6 linked regions of the Oryctolagus cuniculus genome follow. The protein of the gene in region 4 interacts with the protein of the main gene of each other region in a biochemical or structural test. Links are inferred from orthologs where the notes say so. Each region holds a gene or a part of one and is shown on either strand. Other genes may lie near its edges.

What was found.
Region 1: the proteins of ERBB2 (region 4) and ABL1 form a complex in vitro, tested with the Homo sapiens proteins (3 studies listed by BioGRID and IntAct, with this or other methods). The link is inferred for Oryctolagus cuniculus from reciprocal best matches to the Homo sapiens genes ERBB2 and ABL1.
Region 2: the proteins of ERBB2 (region 4) and FGR form a complex in vitro, tested with the Homo sapiens proteins (2 studies listed by BioGRID and IntAct, with this or other methods). The link is inferred for Oryctolagus cuniculus from reciprocal best matches to the Homo sapiens genes ERBB2 and FGR.
Region 3: the proteins of ERBB2 (region 4) and CRKL form a complex in vitro, tested with the Homo sapiens proteins (2 studies listed by BioGRID and IntAct, with this or other methods). The link is inferred for Oryctolagus cuniculus from reciprocal best matches to the Homo sapiens genes ERBB2 and CRKL.
Region 5: the proteins of ERBB2 (region 4) and FER form a complex in vitro, tested with the Homo sapiens proteins (2 studies listed by BioGRID and IntAct, with this or other methods). The link is inferred for Oryctolagus cuniculus from reciprocal best matches to the Homo sapiens genes ERBB2 and FER.
Region 6: the proteins of ERBB2 (region 4) and GRB2 form a complex in vitro, tested with the Homo sapiens proteins (4 studies listed by BioGRID and IntAct, with this or other methods). The link is inferred for Oryctolagus cuniculus from reciprocal best matches to the Homo sapiens genes ERBB2 and GRB2.

The regions. Positions count from the first base shown.
Region 1 is NC_091432.1:233,492,452-233,497,217, reverse strand, and holds part of ABL1 (tyrosine-protein kinase ABL1), read right to left. Parts: intron 3,289-4,766; coding exon 3,104-3,288; intron 953-3,103; coding exon 800-952; intron 1-799. UniProt on the Homo sapiens protein: Non-receptor tyrosine-protein kinase that plays a role in many key processes linked to cell growth and survival such as cytoskeleton remodeling in response to extracellular stimuli, cell motility and adhesion, receptor endocytosis, autophagy, DNA damage response and apoptosis.
Region 2 is NC_091438.1:143,956,291-143,961,056, reverse strand, and holds part of FGR (tyrosine-protein kinase Fgr), read right to left. Parts: intron 1,661-4,766; coding exon 1,557-1,660; intron 1,435-1,556; coding exon 1,285-1,434; intron 360-1,284; coding exon 204-359; intron 110-203; coding exon 1-109. UniProt on the Homo sapiens protein: Non-receptor tyrosine-protein kinase that transmits signals from cell surface receptors devoid of kinase activity and contributes to the regulation of immune responses, including neutrophil, monocyte, macrophage and mast cell functions, cytoskeleton remodeling in response to extracellular stimuli, phagocytosis, cell adhesion and migration.
Region 3 is NC_091452.1:29,686,313-29,691,078, forward strand, and holds part of CRKL (crk-like protein), read left to right. Parts: intron 1-4,018; coding exon 4,019-4,484; intron 4,485-4,766. UniProt on the Homo sapiens protein: May mediate the transduction of intracellular signals.
Region 4 is NC_091448.1:22,691,384-22,696,938, reverse strand, and holds the start of ERBB2 (receptor tyrosine-protein kinase erbB-2), read left to right. Parts: upstream 1-2,052; 5' UTR 2,053-2,273; coding exon 2,274-2,346; intron 2,347-5,555. UniProt on the Homo sapiens protein: Protein tyrosine kinase that is part of several cell surface receptor complexes, but that apparently needs a coreceptor for ligand binding. Essential component of a neuregulin-receptor complex, although neuregulins do not interact with it alone.
Region 5 is NC_091445.1:31,467,565-31,472,330, reverse strand, and holds part of FER (tyrosine-protein kinase Fer), read right to left. Parts: intron 3,030-4,766; coding exon 2,759-3,029; intron 1-2,758. UniProt on the Homo sapiens protein: Tyrosine-protein kinase that acts downstream of cell surface receptors for growth factors and plays a role in the regulation of the actin cytoskeleton, microtubule assembly, lamellipodia formation, cell adhesion, cell migration and chemotaxis.
Region 6 is NC_091448.1:5,226,656-5,230,985, forward strand, and holds part of GRB2 (growth factor receptor-bound protein 2), read left to right. Parts: intron 1-1,432; coding exon 1,433-1,555; intron 1,556-4,330. UniProt on the Homo sapiens protein: Non-enzymatic adapter protein that plays a pivotal role in precisely regulated signaling cascades from cell surface receptors to cellular responses, including signaling transduction and gene expression.

The DNA of each region.
Region 1 (4,766 bases), on a different chromosome or scaffold from region 4:
ATCAAAAGTACCAGTGTAGGAGCAGAGGGACAGGTGTAAGGATGTCCACTCCTGTCTTTCTTACAATGGAAAGACCAAACAAATATATAAAACAATCAATCGCTCATCAATAGAGAACTGGATGGATGAATGGATTGTTCAATGGAATGAAATAGGAGGAGGGCGAAGGGGACTTGAAAACCCAGGCATGGAAAGCCCACACCTGCTACTAACTCACAGGCACGCGCACACGCCCACACGAGCACGAGTGATGCCACGGCACGGAAGTGAAGGGGCAGTCCCGCCCCGAGGGGTGGTCCTCCGAGCACAGCACTCAGGGCTGAGGAGAAACCCAGGTTTGGGTAGGCAGCGTTTGTGCGCAATGTATGAACAAACACACAAGCATTAAAGAAAGTGAAAAAGATATACATCCAGGGGCCAGCGCTGTGGCGTAGCGGGTAAAGCCACGGCCTGCAGTGCCGGCATCCTATATGGGCGTGGGTTCAAGTCCTGGCTGCTCCACTTCCAATCCAGCTCTCTGCTAAGACCTGGGAAAGCAGCAGAAGATGGCCCAAGTGCTTGGGCCCCTGCACCCGCGTGGAGACCTGGATGGAGCTCCTGGCTTTGGATCAACCCAGCTCCGGCCGTTGTAGCCATCTGGGGAGTAAAATAGCGAATGGAAGACCTCTCTCTCTGCCTCTGCCTTTTAAATAAATCAATCTTTTGAATACACAGACACACAGACACACACACACACGCACGCTCCCCGCGGCCTCTGCGCGGCCCTCACGCCGCCCCCCAGACTGGCGCCGGGGCTCACATGCTCGCATGAGTTCGTAGACCTTCTCCGGGCAGCCTTCCGGGCGCTCCATGCGGTAATCCTTCTCCAGCAGCTCATAGACCTGGGACAGGTCGATCCCCGGGTACGGCGACATGCCGTAGGTGGCGATTTCCCAAAGCAGCACTCCAAACGCTAAAAGGAAGGAGAAGGAGGCTGGAAGGCTCACGCCACTGCAGCAGACACGCCAGGGGCACCCGCAGAGGCAGCCCCGCTGGTCCCGCACGAACCACCAGCACCCTGGGCAGCGCAGACAGGAGAGTGCCTGACACGGACGGAAAACACTGCGGGAGGGAAGACGGCGAAGCCATCAGCCCCCCGGGGCCTTTCAGCCAATGCAACCACCTCGCGGGATGTGGGGTGTCAGGAGCCTGGGCCGGCAAACAGGCAGCCACAGTCTACGCACAGGTCTGTGGCCGGCTAGCTGTGCGCCCAGCACAGGCCGCCGTGGCTCTGTGGCCGGCTAGCTGTGCACCCAGCACAGGCCGCAGTGGCTCTGTGGCCGGCTTGCTGTGTGCCCAGTACAGGCCACTCATTTCTAGGCGTACAGAATTATCTCCTCTGCCAACTCAAAAAACTGCCAAACAAATTTCATGGAATCTTTGTAAGTTTTGCAACCCCAGCTTATGGCCTTGACACTTCCTCCCCTGTTGAAGGAACCGGGGCTCCGCTGAGAAGCAGGGACTCAGGTGTGAGTGAGCCTTGTGCATCCTGCCATTCCAGACAGCATGGACATCATGGAAGACTCCAAGGGCAACTCCAAGAGGACCAGGAGTTACCCTGAAGCTCCCGCTGGCCGACGATGAGATACAGCGGGTTAAGCAGCTCCTGGGATTCCCCTCGTCCCACACAGGAGTGCCTGGTTCCAGTCCCGAACGCTCCATGCTTCTGATCCAGCTTTCAGCTAATGCACCCAGCACAGAGCAGATGACGGCCCAACGACTTGGGCCCTTGCCATCCACACAAGAGGCTGGGACAGCTCCTGGCTCCGGGCTGAGCTCCGGCTGTCCCAGGCATTTGGGGAGAGACCCGCAGACGGAAGATATACCTTGCTCCGTGTGTGGGTGTGTGTCTCCCCCTCTCTATGTGTCAGATAAAGCTCCCCGGTTCATAATGACATCAGCAGTGACAAACAACAAAACCTCACGGGGCACCACGGAGGGGCATCAACAGACCAGCTTATCTCAAAAACTGGTAAACAAAGGCAGAGGAGCAGGCACTCACCCTGCCGCTTCTACGCTAGTACTAGCACCAAGGCCCGGGCAGACAAGGGGAGGGGCTTCTTGCAGAGCAGCCTGCTAATAAGTGAGTGAGGAAAGACGGATCCAGGGAACCTCCTCCTGGCATCCCTTGTCAAGCAGCGCGTCTAGGCGCTGGGTGTCGGCACACGCGGACAGGACGCACTGCCGAGGACAGAGCACGCCACCTTCCCAAGTCCTGGTGGAAGAGGCCCAAGGCAGGCCCGGATGTGACGAAGCTGCCGACTCAGCGACCCAGCGACGGGACCCCAGAAGCAGCGGTGGCAGAGAAAACCCACCACGTGGGAAACTCAAGGACAAGCGACGGAGCTTCTGCATAAAAGGAAACCAAGGGAAAAAGGACACGGAGAGGGAGCCGTGGCTGGAGGCGGCTTCGGCAAAGACCGGCCAAGCACTGCGGGAACCACACCTGGATCTCAGTGCAAACTGTGAGAAACAGCCCGAGCTTCACAGTCCAGCTAGCTGGGAGCCGAACACCAGACACAAAATAACATGGGGCCTGGGATTCGCTTTTAAAAACATGAGGGTTGGGGGCCAGCACTGTGGCGCAGCGGGTTAAAACCTGCAGTGCCGGCATCCCGTATAGGCAGCGGTTCGAGCCCCGGCTGCTCCTCTTCCGATCCAGCTCTCTGCTGTGGCCTGGGAAAGCAGTGGAAGATGACCCAATAATAAGTTACAGCAAGCTATTCTGCATAACTGAGGAAGAAAAAGCTCACTCTCACTCTACCTTGACAAGAAAACAAAGGGGAAAGGATTTTAAATGACAAAGAAGCAGGCGGTTCCTGTGGTGTAGTGGTTGTTACGCTTGCCCTGGTTTGAAACCGGCTGGGAACAAATGGCCCTTTCTCTCTCTCTTTCTTCCTCTGCCTTTCAAATAGACAAAACGAATCAAAAGTAGAGAAATAAAGTGAGAAAGAAGGAGAAGTAATGGAGACCAGGGACTGGAAGGGAAAGAGCTGGTGCATGAGGCAGAGGAGAACGGAGCAAAGCCCCCCGGGAGTGGACTGCGCCGGGCAGCGGCTCTTACCCCACACGTCGGACTTGATGGAGAACTTGTTGTAGGCCAGGCTCTCCGGCGCGGTCCACTTGATGGGAAACTTGGCTCCGGCGTGGGCCGTGTAGGTGTCCCCTGTCATCAGCCTGCTCAGGCCAAAATCAGCCACCTTCACCAAGTGGTTTTCCCCTACCAGGCAGTTCCGGGCAGCAAGGTCCCTGGGAAGGAAGGTCACCGTGAGACCCCCAGGATTCGGCTGCCCAAATCCACCACCAGCAAGCGAAGGTGCAGAATTGGCGAGGCAGACGGCGTCGGCCCCTGCAGGCATTCAGACCCTGCAGGCTGGGGGCGGTGCCAGCCCCTGGGCGCATGGCCTGAGCCCCAGCACGGCGCCAGGGGCAGCCCGGGAGGCACTGAGACCTGCAGCAGGTTAGTTACCCTGTAAGGTGAGGATGATGATAAAGGCACCTACACCCTGGGGCTGCGCGCGATGAACGAACGTGTCAGGTGCTTCCAGCAATGCCTGGAGAGCAGCGGCGAGTTACGTAAGGGCGCCGTTACCGCTACTGCACGCTGGCACGGCAACCAACGCTCAGCCCAATCCTCCGTCACAAGGAACGTAGGTAGGACAGTCTCCACTTGTCCTACCCAGGCATGACCAGGACGGAGTAAAATAAAGCCCGGGCGCCTCCACCTAGATTCTGCCTCCTCCCTCCCTCTCTCTTCCTGATGCTCACCCAAATGCCTCCTCGCAACTCTCTTCCTCCCGCCTCCTGAGCCTCCAGGGAGGCAGCCGTTTAACCTCTGCTCCACGGATGTTAACCACAAATGCACAAGGCACACCGGGGTGCAGGAGTGCGAGGAGGCAGCCGCATGCAGCGACGGCTGCGCGGGAGCCTGGGCATCAGCAAGGAGAGAGGCATTAAACACGAAGAGCTGTGCCTAATGGGATTTCGGCAAAGCATCTTAAGTGTGCCTGAGTGAAGAGGGAGCAGACCAGCCGTGCACGGCAAACCAGGAGTCAGGAAATCTCAATGTGCAGCATCAGAGGGTTCACGTCCCGAGTGACGGGAGCATCTGGACCAGGCTCCTGTGGGGCACGGAAAATCTGAGGACGAGGAGCTGCCCGCGACTCCTGCGCCGCTCTGCTTCTCTGCACGGCAACCTCGTGTAGAGGTTTCACACTCGAGTTAACTGGGCAGGAAAGGCCACGCGGCGGCGCGGCAAACATCTCGTCTGCGACTCGGCGAGCCCATCAGGCTGCGTCCTGCATGGGCTGTCACTTTGCTAGGAGGCCATTTCCACCAGCAAAGAATGCAAAGCCCGAGGCAACTGGCACACTTGAAGGTCAAAGCACTCCAGGCTGCAGCGCCAGCAAGACGCTTAATTCAGGCCTCATACCTGCGTTCTGACAATCGTGGGAACACCCGCGAACCAGCTGACAGCAAGTCAAGTGGAGAGAAACGATAATAAAGACAAGGGAGGAAGCACACATGCACACACACACACAGTGCGCACACACACACATGCGCACGCACACACAGTGCGTACACACACGCACAGTGCATACATACACACACACGTGTGCACACACGCACACACAGCACGAGACCTCCGCAGCGCTGCTACGGCGAGCCTGCAGAAAAGCAGTGCCCACTGCCCCCAGGGCTGAGGAAGGCCGGCCCCGGGGACAGGG
Region 2 (4,766 bases), on a different chromosome or scaffold from region 4:
TGGTGCCGCAGCAGCTTCATGACCTGCGCCTCCTCCAGGAAGGCCTTCGGGGACATGGTGCCCGGCTTCAGCGTCTTCACCGCCACCTTTGTGCTGCCGTTCCACGTGCCTGTCCCACGGCCCAGCGCGTCAGGACTGCTCCCCCCGGGCCCAGGCCTTCCCCACGCCCCCCCCCCCCCAGAAGGCACCTCACATCTCCATACCCAGCCACACATCCCCGAAGCAGCCGCTGCCCAGCCGGCGCTCCAGTCCGATGGAGGCACGGCTGATCTCCCAGGCGTCCTTGGCCAGGCCCAGGGTCTGCGGCTTCATGGTGGCACAGGCCACCGTGAGCAGGTGGCACAGCCCATCGTTCACCTCTGGAGGGAGGAGGGCTGCAGGTTACCCATGGGCCAGGGCCACACCTCCCCCCCACCTCATCCCACTGGTGCCTGGTGCCCAACTATGAAGAACTAGGCCTCCCAGGAGGGCACAGGCCAGGAGGGAATGCACCCCTGGCCCTGAGTCAATGAACACGTATGTACCCAGGGAAGGGCGTGGCACCCCAGGGGGACAGAAGATCCCTACAGGACAAGGGGTTTTCCTGTAAAGACTGGGGGCTCTCACATGGGAGCTGGTCTTGAAGGAGAAAGTGAGATCAGGACAGGTGTAGGGGTGGGGAGTCCAGACAAGGTATGGACATGAGGCCCATCCTTGACCTAACCAGTCCAGGCAGGGCGTTGACCCCCACCCTGCCCTTGACCGACCAGCCAACCCTCCAGGTTGGGCCGTTCTGCCTCTGCTCTACTTCTGCTGCCTGAGTGTGGCAGCTGCTGCCTCTGAGCACTCTCCTCCTTCCGCCTTGCCCTGGGCATCCATGCCTGACCAGCCGCCAGGGTGTCTCACCAAAGTGCAGACAGCCTCTGCCATCCCCTGCTGTGGTCCCTGTCACGGTGGTTCCCTCCCTGCCACAGGGCAGTCCTAGTGCCCTGCTGGTGCTGGGAGGAGTGGGGTGGGGTGGGGAGGGGAAGGTGGGCATACAAGGCAGCTCAGTGCTTAAACTTCCTGTTGGGTTCAGGACTTGATGCCAGAAACTGGCCAATTCCCTGCTCAGATGCTAGGGGGCGCTGCTTGGCCATGGTGGGATGCCTGCCTCAGTTTCCTGGTGAAGCCCGCAGAGCAGTATCCTGAGCCCGGTGTGGCCACGAGTGCTTTGGGAGAACCCTCCCTTCTCTGGGCCTCCGTCTCTCCTATGGACAAGGGCATCAGCGGGCTGGCTCAGCGACCGGAGGCGCCCGCCCTCACCCATGTAGTGCTTCACCAGCTCCTGCACTGAGTCGAACTGGGCCCGCGTGGTGATGTAGTAGCCACCCGTGTCCAGCTTGCGGATCTTATAATGCTTCACGTGATCACCTCTGCTCTGGTCCCAGTCACGGATGGACAGCGAGTAGGCGCCTGTGGGTGGGAAAGGGTCACTGCAGGTGTGCTGTCGGCGTCTTCCCCAGTCTGGTAGCCGGAAGAGGCCAGGGCTGGGGGGCAGGGGGCCCCTCCCCACACTGCCAGGGCGCAGCCCCCACCTTTGGTGGTCTCACTCTCCCGAATGAGGAAGGTCCCCTGGGGGTTGCCTGGGGACAGCAGCTGCCTCTCTGCATCCTTCCTCCCGATCTTTCCGAAGTACCACCTGTTGGGAAGGGCAGGTGAGAGTCAGGGACACTCTGTGCAGACCCCAGCCCAGCCCCTTGGGCAGTCACCTCTGCAGCCAAGACTTTCCTCGCACGTACAATGGGACTCAGCCTGTGTGAAGATCCCAGAGCAGGGCGTGGAAAACCCCTGGCACATAGCAGGTGCCCAACAAAGGGGAGCTTTCCCGTCTCTACTCTTTGGGTTTCCTTGAGTTAAAAAAATTTTTTAAAAGGTCTTCATTCTGGTGGTTCACTTCCCAAATGGCTGCTATAGCCGGTGCACTCCGCTGATCCGAAGCCAGGAGCCAGGTGCCTCCTCCCGGTCTCCCATGAGAGTGCAGGGGCCCAACCACCTGCCTTCCCGGGCCACAGCAGAGAGCTGGACTAGAAGAGGAGCAACCAGGACAGAATCCAGCACCCCAACTGGGACTAGAAAGAAGCCAGGGTGCCATCGCCTCAGGCGGAGGATTAGCCTAGTAAGCCGCGGCACCAGCCCTTGAGTTAAAATTTTGAGGTCCGGCATTGTGGTGTAATGGGTTAAGCTGCTGCCTGTGATGCTGGGCCGGTTCTTGTCTTGGCTGAGCCACTTCTGATCCAGTGCCCTGCTAATGTGCCTGGGACACCCATGTGGGAGTCCCAGATGAAGATCCTGGTTCCTGGCTTCATCCTGGCCCAGCCCTGGCTGTTGCAGCCATTTGGAAAGTGATGGAGGATCTCTCTCTCTCTCTCTCTCTCTCACCCCATAACTCTGCCTTTCAAAATAAATAAATAAATAAATAAATAAATAAATAAATAAGTCTTTTTAAAAATTGTGAGAGCTGGGGCCGGCACCATGGCTCACTTGGTTAATCCTCCGCTTGCAGCGGCACCGGCATCACATATGGGCGCCAGGTTCTAGTCCTGGTTGCTCTTCCAGTCCAGCTCTCTGCTGTGGCCCGGGAGGGCAGTGGAGAATGGCCCCAGTGCTTGGGCCCCTGCACCTGCATGGGAGACCAGGAGGAAGCACCTGGCTCCTGGCTTTGGATCAGCGCAGCACCGGCCATGGCAGCCATTTGGGGAGTGAACCAACGGAAAGAAGACCTTTCTCTTTCTCTCTCTCTCTCTCACTCACTGTCTATAACTCTACTTGTCAATAAATAAATAAATAAATAAATAAATAAATTTGTGAGAGCAGCAGGTCTTGGCACGCATTTCAAATGCCGCTTGGGACACCTGCATCTTGTATCTGAGCGCCTGGGTTGGAGCCTTGGCTCTGCTCCCAATTCCAACTTCCTGCTGATGAGCACCCTGGGAGGCAGCAGGTGGTGGCTCAAGTTCCTGGGTCCCTGCCCCCACACGGGAGACCCAGCTCTGGAGCTTCTGGCTGCTGGTTTCAGCAGGTGGGAGATCTTTGTCTGATGTCTGCCTTTCAAATAAAGAGGCTGCTAGAACCCCAGTCACCGGTGACTGCACCAGGGCGTCTTGAGCCCCTGAGTCCCTCTCCTTAGGGCCCTTCACACACTCTCACAGAGGAGGAACTCGAGGCTCAGAGAGGGGAAGTGACCGCCTGTAAGACTGTCCGATGATTCCCACCTAGAACCCTTTGCCACCCAACTGACTTCTTTGCCCACCTCCGCCCTCCAGGCAATCACTCAGATCCCTCCCTTCCCCCATCTCCTAGCCTGTCCTCCCCGGCTTCCAGAAGAGCATCCTCTCTCCACTCTTCTCTGACAATCCTGCCCAGATCTGCTGGCTGCTTTTTCTCCACTCTCTTAAGCATTGTCAGTCCCAACATCAACCTCAGGCCTCACCCCTCCTGCTGGCACCTGATGGCTCTTTCTGGCATCAAACTGCAGCCGTAAACGGTGTGAGTACACCGTGGCCATCAAAGTGACCAAAGGTGGCGTAGAAGACTCAGATGTGCTGCAATTATGACATTGGCCTGTGGTCATCTTGGGACGAATTAGAAGGAGCATAGTTTTTGAATCAAGGGAGGTAGAAATCTCCAAAGTCTGGATGGTCAGCTCACACCTGGGTACTAGGCAGAATTTGGGAAACAGGAGAAGGCCCTGGCAAGTGGCATGGCCAGGAGAACAGGCAGGAGGGGGATCAGGGGCTGTTGAAGGGCAGTGGAGACAGGACACCTCCCCAGGTTGTCTCACAGCCCTGCCCCCACCTGCGTCTATGACATTAGTGGTTTCCTTAATAAGCAATATAATAATAACAGCACTTATTTTGTTTCGAGCTCTGCCTTAATACCACGTGCATCCAATCAATTTGCAGACCCACACTTTGAGATGGGTGCTCTTGCTGGCCCCAGCACACAGATGAGGAAGCTGAGGTTCCCAGCGGTCAGGCAGCTTGCCCAAGGCCACGGCGCTCTGAAGCTGTGTTGCCAGAATAGGAACCCGAGCTACAGCTCTAGGGCCTATGCACTTGACCATGACACTCACGTAACCACAGCACCACACTGAGTGCAACCCAGCTTCCGAGACACTGCCTCCCAGAGGATATGCAGACGTGAACCACCTGCCCGCTGCCTCCACCTCCCTCCCCAGACCAAGGCCCCAGTGCACTTGGGCTCTGGTCCTGCCCACGCCCTTCTGCTCAGGGACCCTGTCCCCACCGCGTGAAGCAGCCCCAATGCCCGAAGGGGCCCCGTCTGTCCTGCTCCACCCAAGAAAACTGTTCTGAGTCCTGTCTTGTCACCCACATCCTGCCGTACCCTCCCCCTCTGCTTCTCACCTGGTTCTCCACTTCGTCACCTCCCTCTCACTTCTCACCAAGGTCACCTCCATTGCCCAATGCAGTAGCAGCCTCTGCTCCGCCCCTCATTTCCTGAAACTTCGCCTGCACCCTCGGAGCTGTTCTGCTCAGCCTGGCCTGGGTTCCCTCCCTTCTCCAGGGGCTTCTCCTTGCAGGCTGCTTTCCCCGGAGCTGGGGTCAGGCCAGTCTCCTCCTCACTCTCCTCCTTCCTCCGTCACCCTCCCAGGCAGCCTTCCTCGTCACCCTCACTCCGGCTTCCACTCCTAGGCAGGGAGGCATCTTGGTGACAGTTAGGAAAAGGGCCCCTTCCTTGGGTCTGCCTCAACACAGGCCTCCCACACAAAACACAACCTGAGCTCT
Region 3 (4,766 bases), on a different chromosome or scaffold from region 4:
ATGGGAAGTTCTAACATTTGCAGACCTGTGTACCAGTACTAGACAAAGCATATTATGGGAGTAAACCATGGGTTTTTGTTTCTCAGAAGTTCAGTTTGTTGAAAAAAAGGTGATTACCTGTGCCTGAGGAGTCCCACCAGGCTCAGAGGGCTTGCTCTTTCCGGTTCTGGAAGGATGGGAACAAGGATCTGAGAGAGAAGAGGTGGTGGGTGGTGCCTGCTGGGAAAGGCAAGGATTTGTAATTAATGTGAGTGATGCGCTGGAAGCTAGGTAGGAGGGATAAAGCTGACTTGGAAAGCCGGGGCCCCTCTCCCCCACCCCCATGCCTTGTAAATGAGTCTGGCAGTGGGAGCCCGCCAGGTTTTTACTTTTTAGAAACTGTTCTGGTGTGGACTGGGTTAGGGAGAGACTGGAAGTTAATTAAGCGCTACTATGGGAGAGAAACCATGACCAGCGGAACTAAGATTAACTCTGTTGGGAATGTAAAGTGGGGACTCAATCCTTGCTTGGCAGTTGAGCGTAGAAAGTGAGGGAAGAGGCCGGCACTGTGGCTCACTTGGCTAATCCTCCACCTGCCGCGGTTCTAGTCCTGGTCGGGGCGACGGATTCTGTCTCGGTTGCTCCTCTTCCAGTCCAGCTCTCTGCTGTGGCCCGGGAAGGCAGTGGAGGATGGCCCAAGTGCTTGGGCCCTGCACCCGCATGGAAGACCAGGAGGAAGCACCTGGCTCCTGGCTTTGGATCGGCACAGCGCACTGGCCGTAGTGGCCATTTGAGGGGTGAACCAACGGAAAAGGAAGACCTTTCTCTCTAACTCTGCCTGTAAAAAAAGAAAAGAAAAAGAAAGTGAGGGAAGAGGTTTGACTTCAGAGAGGATTAAGAAATGCCTTTGAGGGAAGAGAAAGGATTAGGTGAGGGGGGCAGTTGTTTTCAATAGGAAGTCTTTTGGGGAACCTAATGGCAGCCAGGTGTGCTTTAGTAACCTGATGGATTTGTTACTGAGGGAAGAGGTGGGGACTGAATATGTTGGTTTGGCCCTTAGAATCACACAGAATGGGGCCGGTGCTGTGGCTCAGCGGGTTAAAGCTGCGGCGCCAGCATCTCATATGGGGGTTAGTTCCAGTCTGAGGTAGTTTCCAATTCAGCCCCCTACTAATGTGCCTGGGAACGCATATGGGAGACTGGAAGAAGCTCGACCTGACTGTTGGGGCCATTTAGGGAGTGAACCAGTGGATGGAAGATCTTTCTCTCCCTCTCTCTAACTCTACCTTTCAAATAAATAAATCTTTAGGAAAAAAAAAAAAAACTGGAATGAGCAAAGCAAGAGATGTGGAAGGAAGGTGAGGGGTGTATTGCATGTAGGCCAACAGGTGAAAGCTTTTTCTCTCTCAAAATAATGTTTGAGATAAGTTTATTGTAGTGCAACAATTTGAAATCTAGCTTTTTTTTTTTTTTTTTTTTTTTTTTTTTGACAGGCAGAGTGGACAGTGAGAGAGAGACAGAGAGAAAGGTCTTCCTTTGCCATTGGTTCACCCTCCAATGGCCGCCGTGGCCGGCGCGCTGCAGCCGGCGCACCACGCTGTTCCGATGGCAGGAGCCAGGTGCTTCTCCTGGTCTCCCATGGGGTGCAGGGCCCAAGCACTTGGGCCATCCTCCACTGCACTCCCTGGCCACAGGAGAGAGCTGGCCTGGAAGAGGGGCAACCGGGACAGAATCCGGCGCCCCGACCAGGACTAGAACCCGGTGTGCCGGCGCCGCAAGGCGGAGGATTAGCCTAGTGAGCCACGGCACCGGCCCACACCTGATATTTTTAAGACAAACTGCTATTAAGCAGTTTGCCCTTGGTTATAAAATTGTTAATAAGTAACAAGGCCTTTGAAATTTTAAATCAAGCTCCTAATCACCTAATCATTATGACTTATGAAAGTAGTTGTAGTAAAAAGAGATACAAGGTTTTGTTTTTGTTTTTGTTTTAAGATTTATTTTTCCCCTGTGCTGTGTGGCATAGTGGGCTAAGCCTCAGGTGCCGGCATCCCATATGGGCACTGGTCCCAGTCCAGCTCTCTGCTATGGCCTGGGAAAGTAGCAGAAGATCGTGCAAATCCTTGGGCCCCTGCACCTGCATGGGAGACCGGAAGAAGCTCCTGGCTCCTGGCTTCAGATCAGCCTAGCTCTGGCCGTTGCTTTCATTTGGGGAGTAAACCAGCAGATGGGGGAATCTCTCTCTGCCTCTCTGTAACTCTGCCTTTCAAATAAGTAAATAAATCTTAAAAAAAAAAAAAAAAAGTAATGTGGCTGTATATATTTAGGGCCATAATAAATGTTCACGTTCTTTAACCTAGTTATTTGAGTTCTGGGAGTCATAAGTTAAAAAAGTGATAAAGGGAAAATATGCTCAAAGTGTGTGGCATTGACGGCTAAACATGAAGAAACAGTGAACTATCCAGGGGCGCTTCCTTATGTTGTGCTCACAGAATGCTGTGACAGTGGAGGTGGTGGAGGCCAGTGATGTGCAGACACACCTGTGCTGTGATTTTAGGAAGAAAAGCTGCCGCAGTTTTTCTGGAGTGGATGCAGGCTTTGGTGAAGCCCCCTCTTAGTGAGATACAAACTCTGGAGGCACCCCAGCCTAGGGTAGATTCTGGGCTTCAGAAAAGGGGAAGGGGAAGAAACGTTTTTTTCCACTTGGTGGCTTTCCAGCTTTTCAAACCTTGTCTCAGGCGAGGAGAGACTCGTGTTTCTGGTGGGTGTTAGCAGGACTGTGCTTGTGTGGCTGACCCTGGGAGTTCATCCTACATGTCGTTGGGCAGATATTAATATATCTGTAGCCACTGCAAAGCTGCAGTGGTGGCAGCAGACTGACGCTTACATGGGGGCTCTGACCTGTGCGTTTTGCAGTGTAAGTTTCATTGATGCTCATTTTGATGATCAGGTGGTAATTTTATTTTGGTAGACATCTGGTTTTTGTACTTTGAGGGACCAGAGGCAGACCTTTCTCATCTTTTCTCTGTGTAGCCAGGGAAATGTGCAGGATGTGTCATTAAATTAGGACTGGGAGAAAGAATTTGTGGCATTTGTGACAAAGTCCAATGGAAGGCAGCTACTGAACTTAAGATTTTAAAAATAAATTAAGATTGGGTATCAGCTGGCACCCTGGGTTCTAGTCCCGGTCGGGGCACCGGATTCTGTCTGGTTGCCCCTCTTCCAGTCTAGCTCTCTGCTGTGGCCCAGGAGTGCAGTGGAGGATGGCCCAGGTCTTTGGGCCCTGCACCCGCATGGGAGACTGGGAGGAAGCATCTGGCTCCCGGCTTTGGATCAGCGCAGCGCGCTGACCATAGCAGCCACTTGGTGGGTGAACCAACGGAAAAAGGAAGACCTTTCTTTCTCTCTCTCTCTCACTAACTCTGTCCAAAAAAAAAAAAAAAAAAAAAATTGGGTATCTATATGTAAACAAAAACTTATAAAGCAGATGTGGTGTGTATATACATTTGACATGTAATTTGAAAAGGCATACTCAGGATATTGACTTTCATTAAAGACTACAGAAAGTACAATCTGAAAGAACCTTCTTACTCCTGAGAATAAATATAGAGAAATAATTCATTATGGAGGAGTGTGGTTTATTAAAAAATTTGATAGGGACCAGCATTGTGGCATAGTGGGCTAAGTTTTTACCTGCAGCACTGGCATCTCATATGGGCTGTGGTTCTAGTCCTGCCTGCTCTTTTTCTGGTCCAGCTCTCTGCTGTGGCCTGGGAAAGCAGTGGAAGATGGCCCAAGTGCTGGGGCCCCTGCACCCCATGGGAGACCTATAGGAAGCTCCTGGCTCTTGACTTCAGATTGGTCCAGTTCTGGCCGTTGTGGCCATTTGGGAGTGAACCAGTGGATGGAAGACCTTTCTCACTGTCTCTCTCTCTCTCTCTGTAACTCTACCTCTAAAATGAATAAAATCTTAAAAAAAAAAAAAAAAAGTTTGATGACACTGGTAAGATTTTTCTCCTAATTTTCTTTCTCTCTTAAGGTATCCAAGCCCACAAATGGGATCTGTCTCGGCACCCAACCTGCCTACAGCAGAAGAAAATCTGGAATATGTACGGACTCTCTATGATTTTCCTGGGAATGATGCTGAAGACCTGCCTTTTAAAAAAGGTGAGATCCTGGTGATAGTAGAGAAGCCTGAAGAACAGTGGTGGAGCGCCCGGAACAAGGATGGTCGGGTCGGGATGATCCCTGTTCCTTATGTTGAAAAGCTCGTGAGATCCTCGCCACACGGAAAGCACGGAAATAGGAATTCCAATAGCTATGGGATCCCAGAACCTGCTCATGCGTATGCTCAACCTCAGACCACAACTCCTCTACCTGCAGTTTCCAGTACTCCTGGGGCAGCCATCAACCCCTTGCCATCCACACAGAATGGACCTGTCTTTGCGAAAGCAATCCAGAAAAGAGTGCCCTGTGCTTACGACAAGACAGCCTTGGCATTAGAGGTAAAACCTGTTAAGACTGTCCTTTTGGGTTCTTTGACGTTTGGTTTTCATTTTCAGTTTTAATTTCTGCAAAGTCATGACTTCTCATTTAAGGTTATGTTCATGGGAGTTAAAAAACTGGGTTATTCTGAAAGATGCAGTTAGTGTTGCAGTTTTTGTCCTTTCCTTCTCCTTGTTTCTTCCAAGTTCTCAGCCTGCTTATTCTTAATTCTTGCTCCTAAAAGCCCCTAGATGTGATTTCAGTAGTTGGTTTTCTTTTCAGTAAGGAAAGATGATAATTAA
Region 4 (5,555 bases):
ATTTATCCAAGGAATAAATTACCCAGGACACACACAAAACTACACCTACCCTCCACTGCATGCAATGTGCTCAGATCTTTTCTATCCTGTTCTTTCTTTTTTTTTCTTTTTAAGCCTTCTCTTGGTCTAAAATGATTTCCCAGTCCACCCTTTAATCTTGACTGCAGCTGGCACATCCCTGGTTAGACCCAGAGGAGGACTTACTATGGGGTTAAGGAAGGGTAAGCTTGAGGCTTCTTATTTGCATGCACGTACCTCACTTTTTTAAAAAGATCTATTTATTTATTTGAAAGCCAGAGTTAACAGAGGCAGAGAGAGACAGCGAGAGAGGGGTCTTCCATCTAATGGTTCACTCCCCAAATGGCTGCAACAGCCAGAGCTGGACTGATCCAAAGCCAGGAGCCTGAAGCTTTTCCCAGGTCTCCTACGCAGGTGCAGGGGCCCAAGCACTTGGGCCATCTTCCACTGCTTTCCCAGGCCATAGCAGAGAGCTGGATCGGAAGTGGAGCTGCTGAGACCGAAACCAGAGGCCATGTGGGATGCTGGCACTGCAGGTGGTGGCTTTGCCCGCTATGCCACAGTGTTGGCCTCTCCATCACTTTCTTTTAAAAAAAAATATGTATTTATTTATTTGAGAGAGAGAGGTTTATTTTTCATCTGTTGGTTCACTCCCCAAATGCCCACAACAGCCAGGGTTGAGCCAGTCCAAAGCCAGGAGACTGGAACTCCATTCAGGTTTCCTGTGTGGGTGATAGGAACCCAAGCACTTGAGCCATCATCAGCTGCTTCCCAGGCACGTTAGCAGGAAGCTGAATCGGAAGCATGGTGCAGCCAGGACTCTGATGTGGGAGTCCTGCCATCTCTCTCCAACTCTTTTTTAAAGAGAGTCTCTCAAATTTTATAAACCCCAGACCCCACAAAACCTACATCTCTCCCACTATGAGTAAATCTGGAAGTGTGTACTGAGCAATCTTCATGTGCCAAGTGCCGTCTGAGTGGCTGATATGTGATGGAGCCGCGACTTGAACACAGGGCTCCCTGATTCCAGAGCCCGCTGTTCCCAGCCTGCCTCTCTCAGTGCTCAGCCCACGACGCAGGTTAGGAAACGTCCGTCTGCTTCTCTCTCCAGACCCCAGAGCAGCGTCTCACTCCTCTTGACCCGTACTGATGTGCTCTTGGGCTCCGGGGTGGAGTGGGGGGGCATTCAGAATTGCCAGATTTAGCAAATAATAATAAGGGTGCCCCGTAAATCTGAATCTCAGATAAATAATGAGCAATTTGTTAGGATACAATGTCCCATGTCGTATTTTGTCTTTCAGCAAAAATCGGTCTTCTTTCCAGGCGCACTGCCACCACGGAGGTTTAAGAGTAGGGGCCGGAATTCAGGCGGGATGGATGCAGGGTGGAGGGGTGGCGCTCAGCAGGCGGGAAAAGGCGAGGAACAAACCTGGGAGGGATTGGGTTCTGCGCGTAGCCTTACGGAAAACAAGAACGCTCGGCCAGGGACTGAAGCCCTGCTGCCTCCGATTTCACTGTCCCCTCCCAAATGTGTAGGTCTTGCTTCTCAGCCCGGACCAGATCCCTACAACAGCCGAGGAGCTGTCCAAAGGGCTCCTGGAGGCCGCACCTGGACCCCAGCTCATCCCCGCTCCCAGGCCGGCAGGTTTACTTGAGTGCGCCGGCGGGCAAGCCATTATTCGATACCACAACAAACAGGCGCGGGACGCGGTAGGATGCAAACTCCCCGGGAATGTTGCAGATCTAACCCGAGGCTTCGGAGAGACCGGAGGGTGGCAGCCTGGAGAATTCGCCCGCACTCCGGGGCAGGCGGCGGGATCCCTCTGCCCGGCTCTGCGTGAGGACTGCTGCGGGCAACCCCGGCGTCCGGGCGCTGGCACGGACGCACCCAGGCCTGCGCCGGGAGAGGGAGAAAGCGAAGCTGGAGTTGCCACTCCCAGACTTGCTGGAATGCAGCGGCGGGGGTGGGGGGGCGAGCCGTGAGCGCGCCTGCTCCCAATCACGGGAGGAGGAGGAGGAGGAGGAGGAGGAGGAGGAGGAGGAGGAGGTGGAGGAGGAGGAGGTGGTGGAGGAGTAGGATTGCTTGAGGAAGTACGAGAATGAAGTTGTGGAGCTGAGATTCCCCTCCAGCGCGAGCCGAGAGACTAGGAGTGCCCGCCGGCAGCCGCGCGCCCGGCCCCCACCCCCTCGCCGAGCCCCGCGCACTCCCAGCCTGGTCCAGCCGGAGCCATGGGGCCGGAGCCGCAGTGAGCACCATGGAGCTGGCGGCCTGGTACCGCTGGGGGCTCCTCCTCGCCCTTTTGCCCCCCGGAACCGCGGGCACCCAAGGTGGGTCTGGCGTGGGGAGGGGATGGGGTAGTGAAGGGCCCCCCCCGCAGCCTGGGTCTCCGGTCCGAAGTCCCAGGCTGGCGGGGGCCGAGGAGCCCGACGAGCCCTCCTCGCCGAAGTTTCGTTAAGTTCGGGCTTTCCCGGCGCGGGGCGCTCGGGCCGGGAGGGGGCGAGAGAAGGTGGAGGCGGGGTTGGGGGCGACCCCCACCGAAGCGGCTCGAGATCGCCCCTTTCTAGGGCCCGGGCGCTTGCCGGACTCCCAGCGGGCTCCGGGGACTTGTCAGAAAAGTTCTCCGAGATTGCGCCCAAAGTTTTCGCCGAGGTGGATTGCGGGGTGGGTGTGGGAGTGTGCGTGCGCGCGCGCGCGCGCGAGCGTGTTTCCCCGCGCCGAGCCCCCGCCAGCCTTCTCAAAGCCTTTCCAGTTGGCAGCCTCCGCCTCCGGACTGGACTGGGCTGGATTCCTTGGGGGGGGGTCCTCTCTGCCCTGCCCCTCCCCCCTCCCCGCCCCCTCCAGCCGCCCGCGTTTGAGTACCGGCTTCAGGCGGGGCCGGGGGTGAAGGGGGAGGTGGGCAGAGCAACCTGCCCCGCGGGCCGGGGAGAGTGGCCTGGCGAGCTGCACGCGTCCCTGGCGCTGGGGTCTGGGCGAGGGGGAGGGGCCCTGGTTTGTTTTGAGCCAGTTCCTACAGGGCCTGCGGGCTTTGTGACTTGTGGAGAGCCTGGACCAGAGAGGGGTGAGGGTGGGTTTCCTGGTTTGGAGAGTTCCACGGGCGGCATATCGGGGCAGCTGTGGCCAGACGGGGGTATCCCAGGGGCCGGGTGCTTCTGCTGTCTTTTTGCTTCCTGCTGTGAGGGGACGGGGAGGGTGAGTGGAGAGGTGTGTATCCCGACCCTGCTGTCCGCCTGCACGAAGTCAGGATAAAAGCTAACACACACTCTGTGCCCAGTACACTCTGCTGGGCCCGTGGGTGGTGTTTTGCATGCATTCCCTCCTTTCGTCTTCCTAACAGAAGGCCACGTTGCAGGTGAAAAACGGGGCCCAAAGAGGGAGGCGGCTGCTGGCTTGTGGTGGGGCTCACAGCCGGCCCAGGGCAGCACAAGCCTTAGCCGCACATTGAAAATGATGATTGGGGTCCACCTGAGCCGGTGGGGGGCACTGCCCCTTGCATCCCTGGGTGAGGGTGCTGTGGGAGCAGGGTGAGGTGGCCCCTGGCACTCAGGGAGTCTGGGGAGCTGTGGGTGGCAGTGCATCCGTGGTGCTCTCCCGGGTCCTCGCCAGGGCCTTGCCGCATTGTCTGCGAGCTGTCAGTGTGTGTCTGGGGCTGTGCCAGGTGGTCCTGAATTATGGTCTGTGTTTGTGTGTCTGGGCCTTGTGTTGCCAAACATCAGTCTCCCTGATGACTTGGGGACGCAGGCTGAACTCTGCCCTCTCCAGGAACGCCCTCAAGGTGCTGGGCCAGATCTGTTGTAAATAGCAGGAGGTGGCCCCATGCCTGCTGGGTGGCTGCAGAGGGAGGTCCCTGTCCTCCCTCCCTCCTTCCCTGGGCGTGCAACTTCACCTCTGCCCATGGCGAGGGGCCGCCCTCCTCTCCTTGCCTGGGAGCAGAGCAGGCGGTGGCGGCTGCGTTGCTGGGGTAGACTCCTCTTGACCGGGGCCTCCTCAGGTCCTCACGCTGAGTTACAGAGAGACACTGAGTGTGTTGCATGGGGAATGGTTACAGAGGCAGGCACATCCCACCCAGCAGCCAGGTTCTACCCCAGGGCTGTGGGCTGGGGCAGGGATGTTGGAAGGGGAGGCCCAGGGGCAAGGGCCAGGGGGCCAGGATTTTGCTGAGATCTTTTTCAGCGGTCAAGATTTGTAAATTGCACCAAACGCATCCTTTTCACTGTTCATTCATATTTTAATTCCAGTGTGATCTTCCCAAGAACCTCCTTCCCTCTTTCTACTAAAAGTGTTCATTTTCATGTCCAAGAAAAAAAAAAAACAATAGCAAAGAAAGGCTCAAATGTAAAAAGAAAAATATATTGACTTTCAAGGTCAAATACAATGCGCATTTTCTCCTGAACTGGGATCACCTGTACTCCTGCTGGATGAAACCCTTGCCTCAAGTTTTTAAGAAGTTGCAGTGCGCTTCCTGTAGGCAGGTGCTCAAGTGCAGATGGCTCCGTTCCGTCTCTAACAATCCTGAGACAGGGGCACAGGTGGAAAACTGAAGTTCAGAGAACCCACGGACTTGGCCAAGGCTCCTTAGCCAATGAAGAGGCCTTAAGAGTTGGTCAAAGTCCACACAACAGGAATGGCTTGACCCAAACCTTAGCCTAAAGGGATAGGGATGCTGTTCTGTTTTGGGGTGGACCTCCGAACCTGGCTAGGGGAAATGGGGCTGAGCTGGGGGGCCTGAGGTCCCCTCCCGGCTGTGGAGTCCTCTCCCTTCCTGTCCAGCCCATGCCTGCCTTTCTCCTGGGCCCTCTCAGCATCATAGGGGACTTAGGGCAGGAGGGTGTGGAGGCCACTGGGATGCTAAGGGCTATGGGTGAGGGGAGGCCTGGGGGTCCAGAGGCTGGGGCAGGACCCAGGGTAGATGTGCCTGCCTCTGGGTGATGGAATGGTCTAGAAAGAGATCTCCCTTCCTGCCCTCCACCTGCAGGGAAACTCCTGTGCCACTTCTGCTAGGCCACCCCCTCCCCTCCTCACCCTTGGGAAGAGAGGCGAGGTAGGGGCGAGGGATGTGTGTGCTCTGAAGGAGTGGGAGAATTATTACAGCTAATGTTTGTGTTGCCCCAGCTCTGTTTACAAAGACTTGCCATGTTTACAGACTGCCTCTGGATTCAAGCTCTCGTTTAACTCTCTTGTACCTGCTTGGAGGGAGTAAGAGTCGTTAGGACCCAGTTTAGGCCAGGAAATAGTCGCTGGGTGCCAAGGAAATCACAGGTGTGGAGATGAATCCCAGGGAGCTTCTGCCCTGCAGGTGCAAGGCCTCACAAGGTCACGGAGAGAGTGGCTGCGCTAGGGTTCTGGTCTAAAAACAGCCTAAACCGTGCAGGTGTGTGTAGGGGTGAGCCCTGGCATGGCTGTGGCCGCAGGGGTCTGGGGATGAAGGGAGTTCCCTGGTGGTACTCATGGAAACCAAAGGAAGCCTTAGCTTTCATGCTGTGAACAAAGAAGCAGCTTGGGCTAAAGGCTGGGGGAGAGGAGAGAACCCATCAAAGAG
Region 5 (4,766 bases), on a different chromosome or scaffold from region 4:
GGGGAGTGGACCAACAGATAAAAGATCAAGCGATCTCTCTCAGCAGATACAAGATCTCTCTCTCTCTCTCTTTCTCTCTCTAGCTCTGTGTGTGTGTTGTGTGTGTGTGTGTGTCACTCTATCTTTCAAATAAATCACTAAAAAAAAAAAACTCAATAATTAGTGCAACAGGAGTGACTGGATCACAGGATACCTGAAAGCTGGTACAACATTATTTCTGTGCATGTCTATGAGGGTTTTTCCACAAGAGACATCATCTGAATCACTCAACTAAGTAAGAGATTCATCCTCACAGTGTCAGTTTTTTTTTTCTTCATACTATTTGTTGAACTCTTTATTTAGTGTAGGGTCAATCTTATGAGCATAAAGTTAACTGAAAATAGACCTTTTTAAAAATAAGAATGGGAGGGGCCGGCGCTGTGAGCTGTGGCACAGCCAGTTAAAGTCCCGTTCTGCAGTGTCGGCATCCCATACTGGTGCAAGTTTGTGTCCCAGCTGCTCTACTTCCAATCCAGCTGTCTGGTATGACCTAGGAAAGCAGTAAAGATGCCCTAAGTTCTTTGTTCCCTGCACCCACGAGGGAGACCTGGAGGAGGCTCCTGGCTCCTCGCTTTGGATCTGCCCAGCTGTGGCCATTGAGGCCACCTGGGGAATGAACTAGCAGATGGAAGACCTTTCTCTCTATCTCCGTAACTTTCTCTCTATCTCTGTAACTCTGCCTTTCAAATAAATAAATAAATCCTAAAAAAAAAAAAAAAAAAAAAAAGAAGAAGAAGAAGAAAAAGAAGAAGAAGAAGAAGAATGGGAATAGGAGAGGGAGGAAGAAAAAGGGTAGGAGTGTAGGAGGGAGGGAGGGTAGAGTGGGAAGAACAACTGTGTTCCTAGATTTGTATGTAAGAAATGCATTAAGTTTGTATACATTAAATAAAATTAATTAAAAAACATTCATCCTCACCAACATGGGCAGGCATCATGCAATGTAGTAAGAACTTAACAGAACTAGAAGGATGAAGAAGGGCTCATTTGCTCTGTCTTCTGGAGCTGAGACATGCATCTCCTCCTGAAGTCAGAATTAGAACTCCAAGTCCTAGGACCTTTGTACTCTGAGAATTATACCAACAGCCCCTCAGGTTCTCGGGCCTTGGCCTCAGACTGGGAGAACAAGATCAGCTCTCCCGGTTCTCAGACCTTCATCCTTAGACAGAATTACATCACTGGCTTCCCCAGTTCTCCAGGCTACAGATAGCACACAGAGGGACTTCTCGACTTCCCTGTTACATATATATAGCTTCCCTTCTGCTTCTCCTTCTCCGGAGAACTCTGACTAAAAAAGAAACAATACAGTGGGACACCACTATCAACCATCTTGACCGTAACAGTATATATTCTTATCAAGTATACATACAACATTTACCAAAACAGACCTCATTCTGGGTTATAAAACAAGTAGTATTCAAAAATTTAAAAACATGTAATTATACAAAATAAGTTTTTGGAAAACTAAATTCAGAATACCTAACAAAAATACATATGGAAAAAAACAACTATTTGGAAATTAAATAACAATCTTTCAAAGAACACATCTGTCAAAAAAGACATCAAAAAGGAAACTAAATGTAATCCTAACTATAAGAAAATTAAAATAAGCATAGAAAAATTTCTGGATACAGATGAAATAGTACTCGGAAAAAAATTTAGAACACTATACCCTTGTATTACAAAAGAAGACAGGTCTCAAATCAGTGATCTCCGCTTCCACCTTAATAAACCAAGGGAAGAGGGAGAGCAAATGAAAAACAAATTAAGAGGAAGAAAAATCAGTAGACTTCAGAGCTGAAATCAAAGCAATAGAAAAAAAAAATCTTTTTAAGTCAACAAAATCAAAAGGGAGTTCTCAGATAATATTAGTAAAATTAATAAACCTCTACCCAGATTGGTCAGAAAAAAGGGAAAAAACACAAATTTCCAATATATGGAATGAGATAAGGTAACATCACTCCAGAAATAGACAAAGAAAAACCACGTGACAAGATCCAACACAAATTCATGAAAAAAAACTGAGCCAAGTAAGACTGGATGGAATTTCAACAAACTTATAGGAAGCATCCATCTACCTATATAGATATATATCTATATAGGTATTTTATATCTCTTATATAACTTACATATCTCTTATATAACTTACAGAAAATATCTATCTATGGATATCTAAGTATCTACATATATATATATATAGATATCTCGATAGATATAGTTCATCCAGTGGATTTAAGAGGAAACTAATTTATTTATTTACCAGTATTTTAGCAAAGAAATGATAGAAAATAAGAGAGAGGTATGGGTTAAAATATTTCAAACAATTCATCAAAGAATTCAGGAATATGGGTTAAAATTTTCTTTGCATCAAAGGAAATAATCAGCAAAGGTCAATTGACCCAAAGCAGAAAACAAAATTTAAAAACCCAATATTTCTAACAATAGCTCTCAAGTCTGACTAATCACTAGAATAACCTGTATATTTATTTACAGAAAAAACTTCAAAGTCCCTCTGTAGACCTATTGAATTAGAATATCAGCAGGTAAGTTCCCAAAATAATTTTGGAAACCTTCCCCCATAAGATTCTGATACTCAGCAAAAAATTCTGGAACCACTGTCCTAGTATGTTAATGTGGGTATGCTCATTCAATAGAATGATCTATTTGCTGTGAGCATAATTATGATGTTATATGCAATGAATGATGAAATAATTCTTCTTACCTTAGATACATTGCTGACATAATTCATCTGTACAGTACTTTCCTTATCAACTTGATTACAAAGGTTCTGTAAAGTAGATGCATATTCTTTATCACTTTTTATTCTCAGAGCCATAAATTTCTTCACTGTTTCCAGTAACCGTAATTCCCAGTCTTGCAATTTTAACACAGCTTCGTGTGAATTCTTCAGGTCACTCCCAAACCCCATTTTTGTAAGGCACTGCTTGTCCTTCTTTCTCACTGCACAGTTCAGCTTTCTAATCAGCACATATCTGTGTATGTTAAACAGAAGGGAAAACATCTTGAATCAAAAGGAAATTAGTCGTCAAAGCAAAAATACAACCTACTCTTTTCAGGGTAAAAAAAAATTATTACAATTCAATATTTTCTCTCAAAGTTCAGGAACAAGATAAGAACGTCCACTCTATTGTTGATTTCTATTCAAATTATATTAGCATTTTTAGCCATTACAATGAAATACATTAAATAAAAGACATTGAGGTGGGAAAGAAAGAAAGAAAATTAATTCTGCTTGCAGATGACATTATCTGGCATACAGAAAATCCTAAACAATGGAAAAAAACCATTAGAATTAGTGAATGAGTTTAGTAATATTATAGGATACAAAATCAATATATAAAAGGTAATTGTGTTTCTGTATATCAATAATGATCAATCTGAAAGCAAAACTTAAGAAAATACAATAGCATCAAAAAATTAAATTACTTAGGAATAAAATACAAAATATTGTTGTAAGAAATTTTAAACTAATTTATATTCTTAAAACTTTTTTTTTTTTGACAGGCAGAGTGGACAGTGAGAGAGAGACAGAGAGAAAGCTCTTCCTTTTCCGTTGCTTCACCCCTCAATGGCTGCTGTGGCCATTGCACTGCGGCCGGCGCACCGCGCTGATCCGAAGGCAGGAGCCAGGTGCTTCTCCTGGTCTCCCATGCGGGTGCAGGCCCAAGCACTTGGGCCATCCTCCACTGCCTTCCCGGGCCACAGCAGAGAGCTGGCCTGGAAGAGGAGCAACCGGGACAAAATCTGGCGCCCTGACCAGGACTAGAACCCGTGGTGCCAGCGCCGCAGGCAGAGTTAGCCTATTGAGCCGCGGCGCTGACCATATTCTTGAAATTTAAAACATTGTAAGAAATTTGTAAAACATTGCTGTAAAATACCTTGAATGCTTCATGTTCAAAGACCAAAAGATTTACTACTTTAAAAGCAAGATTTATCTTAAATCTATACTAATAACTCAGCTACATTTTTTACAGACATTGACAGCTGATCTTAAAATTCATATGGAAATACAAGGAAGCCAGAATAAACACAAAAATACTTTAAAAGAAATATAAAATTGGAGGACTCAAAGGATCTAATTTCACACTTAACTAAAAAGCAATCGAGACCGTACTGGCAGGGTCAGTGTTGTGGTACAGTAGGTTAAGCTGCTGCTTGCAATGCCAGCAATTAAATATGAGTGCAGGTTCTAGTTCTGGCTATTCCACTTCTGATCCAGCTTCCTGCTAATACTCCTGGGAAAGCAACAGAAGGCAGCCCAGGTACTTGAATTTTTAAGTTAAGGTCCCAGGTACTTGGGGTCTTTCCACCCATATAGGAGACCCAGATGGAGTTCCAGGCTCAAGGCTTTGTCCTGGCCCAGGGCTGTTAAGACATCTGGGCAATGAACAAGTGGATGGAAGATATCCATCTCTCTTTCACTCTCTCTGTCTCTCCCTCTCTCTAACTCTGCCTGCCTTTCAAATTAACAAAAAAAAAAAATCTTAAAGAAAAAAAAAAGACAGTATTAACATATGGACAGACATGGAGGTCAATGGGACAGAGGAAAGGATCCTGATACAAATCTTCACATTTATGGTAAAATAAAAATTCTGCAAGAGTATCTAGTCTATTCAATAATGTAAAAAAATTTTTTTTCAACAAATGGTCCTGGGACTACTTGATTTCCACATGCAAAAGCATGAAGCAGAATACCATCCTTAGACCAC
Region 6 (4,330 bases), about 17 Mb from region 4:
ACTGCTTAAACCATCACCCGCTGTCTCCAGGGTGTACATCAGCAGGAAGCCGGAGGGGAGTGGAGCCAGGACTCAGATCCAGACACTGTGATATGGGATGTGGGGGATGTGCCTTCACCACTACGCCAGATGCCAGCTCCTTGCTTTTAGTTTTTGCTTCACATACAGCTAGGCTGTTTTACTCTATAGTCATTTCTTTATTCCTGGGGGAAGGAAGAGAAAGGAGCACCCCTATGGGGAGATCTGGAGGCCCAGGAGGAGATTGTGACTGTGGGGTTGAGGGAGAGGCTATTGGGTGGATTCCCGCTGACCTGCACCCCATCAGGGGCAGTGTAAGCTCGAAAGCTGACACTGGAAACTGGGAGGTGCTCTTGTCACTGGCAGCTGTCCTTCCGTACTTAGAGGTCATCTGTCCTCCTCCTGTATGACTGCCCTTGTGGCCTGGTTTCCAGGCACGGAGGACTTACCCTTGAGTCTTAGTAGACACGGAGGACTTAACGTCCCAGCTCCTCAGCAGCTGGTGTCACAAGTAATTCCATTTAGGAGCATGGTCCGAGGTCTCCGAGGGGGCCAGGTGACTTCTGGGCAGTTCAGGTGTTTCGCTGTGGGTTTTTGTCTGGTACACTATTTTAGAGACATCTCGTAATAAGGTTGCTTAGGAGTGAGATAGAGATGCAGTTACATTTGTAACTTTAGTGGACTGTTTGGTGCCTTTAATATAGTTCACGTATTGAGTGAGTGCTGCTTAAGTAAGACAAAAACATTAAGGAGGATTTTCAGAGAGCACACTGTTTTTAGTGTCTTGTCCTAATTAGCAGTGGTTTTCACCTGCAGTAGCTGGGTGGCTGTGACTAAGCTCTTGCCTTCTCCTCCTGGTGAGCCACAAGGCACTCACTCTCCAGTTTTTCTGTGAATTCAGCCACGTTTCTTCGGGCCGGGTGGTTTATCAGGGAAGCTGAGGAGTCTGTAGCTGACTGCAAGTGAAAATCGTGATTTTGTAGCTGCTGCACACACGGTGAATTGTGGTGTCCTGGGTGTCACGGGGGCCCCGAGAGGTCGCCGACTGTGGTCACTGTGGAGGCTGTGCCTTCCCCCTTGGGCTCTGAGCAGAAGTAGCCCTGCCTCCCCGATTTCCTCCCTTCATTATTAGTCCCCCATCAAGTGGCTGCCACCAGTCAGGGACTGTCTCTGCCTGTGTGGTTCCTCCTGGCTTCACATCCTCTGGCCTGGGAAGCCAGTCTAAGCATCTGTATCCACAGAGAGTGGCCTGCATAGTGCCTGCTGAGTCTCTTGGGAGCTGGAGTGAGGAGAAGGGTGGTCTGTCGGGGAGCCCCTGTGGCAAGGAGTGCTCTGTTACCCCCATCTCCAGGGGTGGGTGTCCCCGTTCCTTTCAGGGGAAGTAACTGTTGACTCCCTTGCCTTCTTTCTCTAGGTGGTTTTTTGGCAAAATACCCAGAGCCAAGGCAGAAGAAATGCTCAGCAAACAGCGGCATGACGGGGCCTTTCTCATCCGCGAGAGCGAGAGCGCGCCCGGCGATTTCTCCCTCTCCGTCAAGTGAGTGTTTCCTGCCCCGCTGCCGGGAAGCCGGCTGCCGCTGACGGGAATCGTGCAGCCAGCGTCGGTGTCTGGCCACGCAGACTGCCGGGGGTCCAACCAGCCTGGACAGCATTTTCATTTTATTTTGAAACCCTGATGGTCCGGGCTTGCTGCCCTGGATGGAGCCCCGGGGGAGCCGTCTCCAGGACTGAGGCAGGCAGCGTCCCTCCATGGGCATCCGCCGGGGGTTCCTGCAGTGGACTCAGTGCTCAGATGACCAGTCCCGTCCTGGACCTCCCTGTAACTAACAAGGTGCTGGGGAGGATTTGGGGGGAGCCGTCCCAGGTGGTAGATTTGTGGTAAGGAGCTAGCAAGCAGGAGTGGAGAAGATTTTGAGTTCTCATTTCCATGTGGGTTTTTTTCTTTGCTTTTGTTTTTTTTGCTTTCAGTCCTGTTCTGATTAATAAATTATCATAGGAAACCCTCCCTCGGAAATTTTACAAATCACTTTAGTGTTTATACACATAAACACATGTATATGGGTAATTAGGTTAAATTAGGTTAAAGCTCAGATTGCCGTTTTATTATAGATTACATTAAAGTTATTTTTATAATTTTTAAAGATTTATTTTATTTATTTGAAAGAGTTACACAGAGAGAAGGAGAGAGAGAGGGGTCTTCCGTCGCTGGTTCACTCATCAATTGGCCGCAATGGCCAGAGCTGCACTGATCCAAAGCCAGGAGCCAGGAGCTTCCTCTGGGTCTTCCCACATGGGGGCAGAGGCCCAAGGAGTTGGGCCATGTTGTACTGCTTTCCCAGGCCACAGCAGAGAGCTGGATCAGAAGTGGAGCAGCCGGGCCTCAACCCGGCGCCCATATGAGATGGTGGCACTGCAGGTGGCAACTTCACCCGCTTCGCCACAGCGCTGGCCCCTAAAATTATTTTTAACATGAGGGTAAGAGAATAATTTACAAATGATATAAAGCACGAGACTTTAAAAGAGAACTTAGTATTTTGGTTTAAGATTAATGTGTGGTTAAAGTATAGATTTTTTTTTTAACAGCAGATTTAAATATAGAGATGTGTCTTTTTTAAAATGTGAATTAGGACCCATGATTGTGGGTATTTGTTTGTTTGATTGTTTTCCATTTTATTTGAAAGACAGAGACCAAAAGAGATCCCCCCTTCTGGTTCACTCCCCAAATGCCTGCAACAGCTGGGGCTGGGCCAAGCTGAAGCCAGGATCCCAGACTCCATCCAGGTCTCACGTGGGTGACAGGGGCTCCTGTGAGTGAGCCGCCTCCGCTGCCTCCCAGGATCTGCGTGAGCAGGAGGCTGGAGTCGGAGCAGAGCTGGGGCTCAGACACTGATGTTTGTGCAGGCTTCTTAACCAAAGGCCTGTCCAGTAAGGACTCCTTGAAGGGCTTGATTGAACATCGCAAGTGAAGTTCTGCTGCAGAGCGTGGCCCGGGGAGGGGAGGGCGGTGGGGTCATCATCTGTGTGCATCTCGGTCCCTTGTGTTTTATGCTGACTGAGTATAAAGTAAACGTGCGACTAGGAATACAAGCAGTTGGTCATTGGCTGGTGGCCAGCACCTCCGGGCACTCAGTGTGGGACACTCCTGCCACAGACACCAAAACCCGCAGCACTCCCTTTTATCAAATTCTCTATTCATTGTCTGAGAAATAAAGTGTGAGACTGCCTGTGACAACAGAAAATGTGTCACCAAGGAGGCTCAAGAATCAACAGCCTCAGCAGTGTTTCTCTGGTTTTTAAGATGTTTTGAGTCAGTGATTCGAGCCCTTGTAGTTGGCAGAGTGCTCACCCGGGACCTTACGCACCTAAGAAACTGACCGCGTCCACCGCCAGCGAGTCCCCAGGGCCAGAGGTGCAGGACAGGCCCTTCTTCCAGAAGCCCTCTCACTAGCACTGCACCCCCCCACACACACCCCTCCCCCTCCTCTCTCCCCCGTGTGTGTGTGTGTTGTGTGTTGTGTGTGGGTGTGTGAGAAAGCAGTACAGCAGCCACCCCCATCCGCGGCTTCACGGTCCACAAGTGACTGTGGTCTAAAAATACTGATCGGGACATTCCAGGAACAAACAGTTCAGATTTTAAATGACTTTTATTTTTTTGTGGTTGTTGGTTGTTACAATTGTCTTGTGTATTGTTAGTTTACTATACCTAACTTACTAATTTAACTTTATCATAGAAGTGTGTGTGTGTGTGTGTGTGTGGTGTTTGCAAGAGAAAGCAGTATATATGCAGTTTGGTACTATCCACCGTCTCACGCATCCACTGGGGGTCTTAGAACCCCCCGCAGCACACACACACACACACACAAACCACACTATGGATAGTGGGGGAGGGAATGCCAGGGCCACTGGATTGTCTTCCCCCAACCCCACTTGGTATCCTGCACTCCGGCTTCCTTGAAGCCCAGTCCTGCCACCTGCTGGCTGTTTTTGGAAAGTGTTGGCTTCTTTAGGCTTTAATACTGAAGGAGGGCCTTTGACGTTAAAATTATCTATTTACTTATTTGAAAGAGTTGCAGAGAAAAAGAGAAATCGGCTGCAATGGCCAGCACTAAGCCAGGCTGAAACCGGGAGCTTCCTCCCAGTCTGCCACGTGGGTGGCAGGGACCCAAGCACTGGGGCCTTCGTCTGCTGCTTTTCCTACGCCATTAGCATCCAGACTTGACCGTCGCTCGTATGGAATGCCAGCATTGCAGGCGAGGGCTTTACCTGTTATGGCGCAATACCGACCCAAAGGAGGGCTTTGAGGAACACGTGC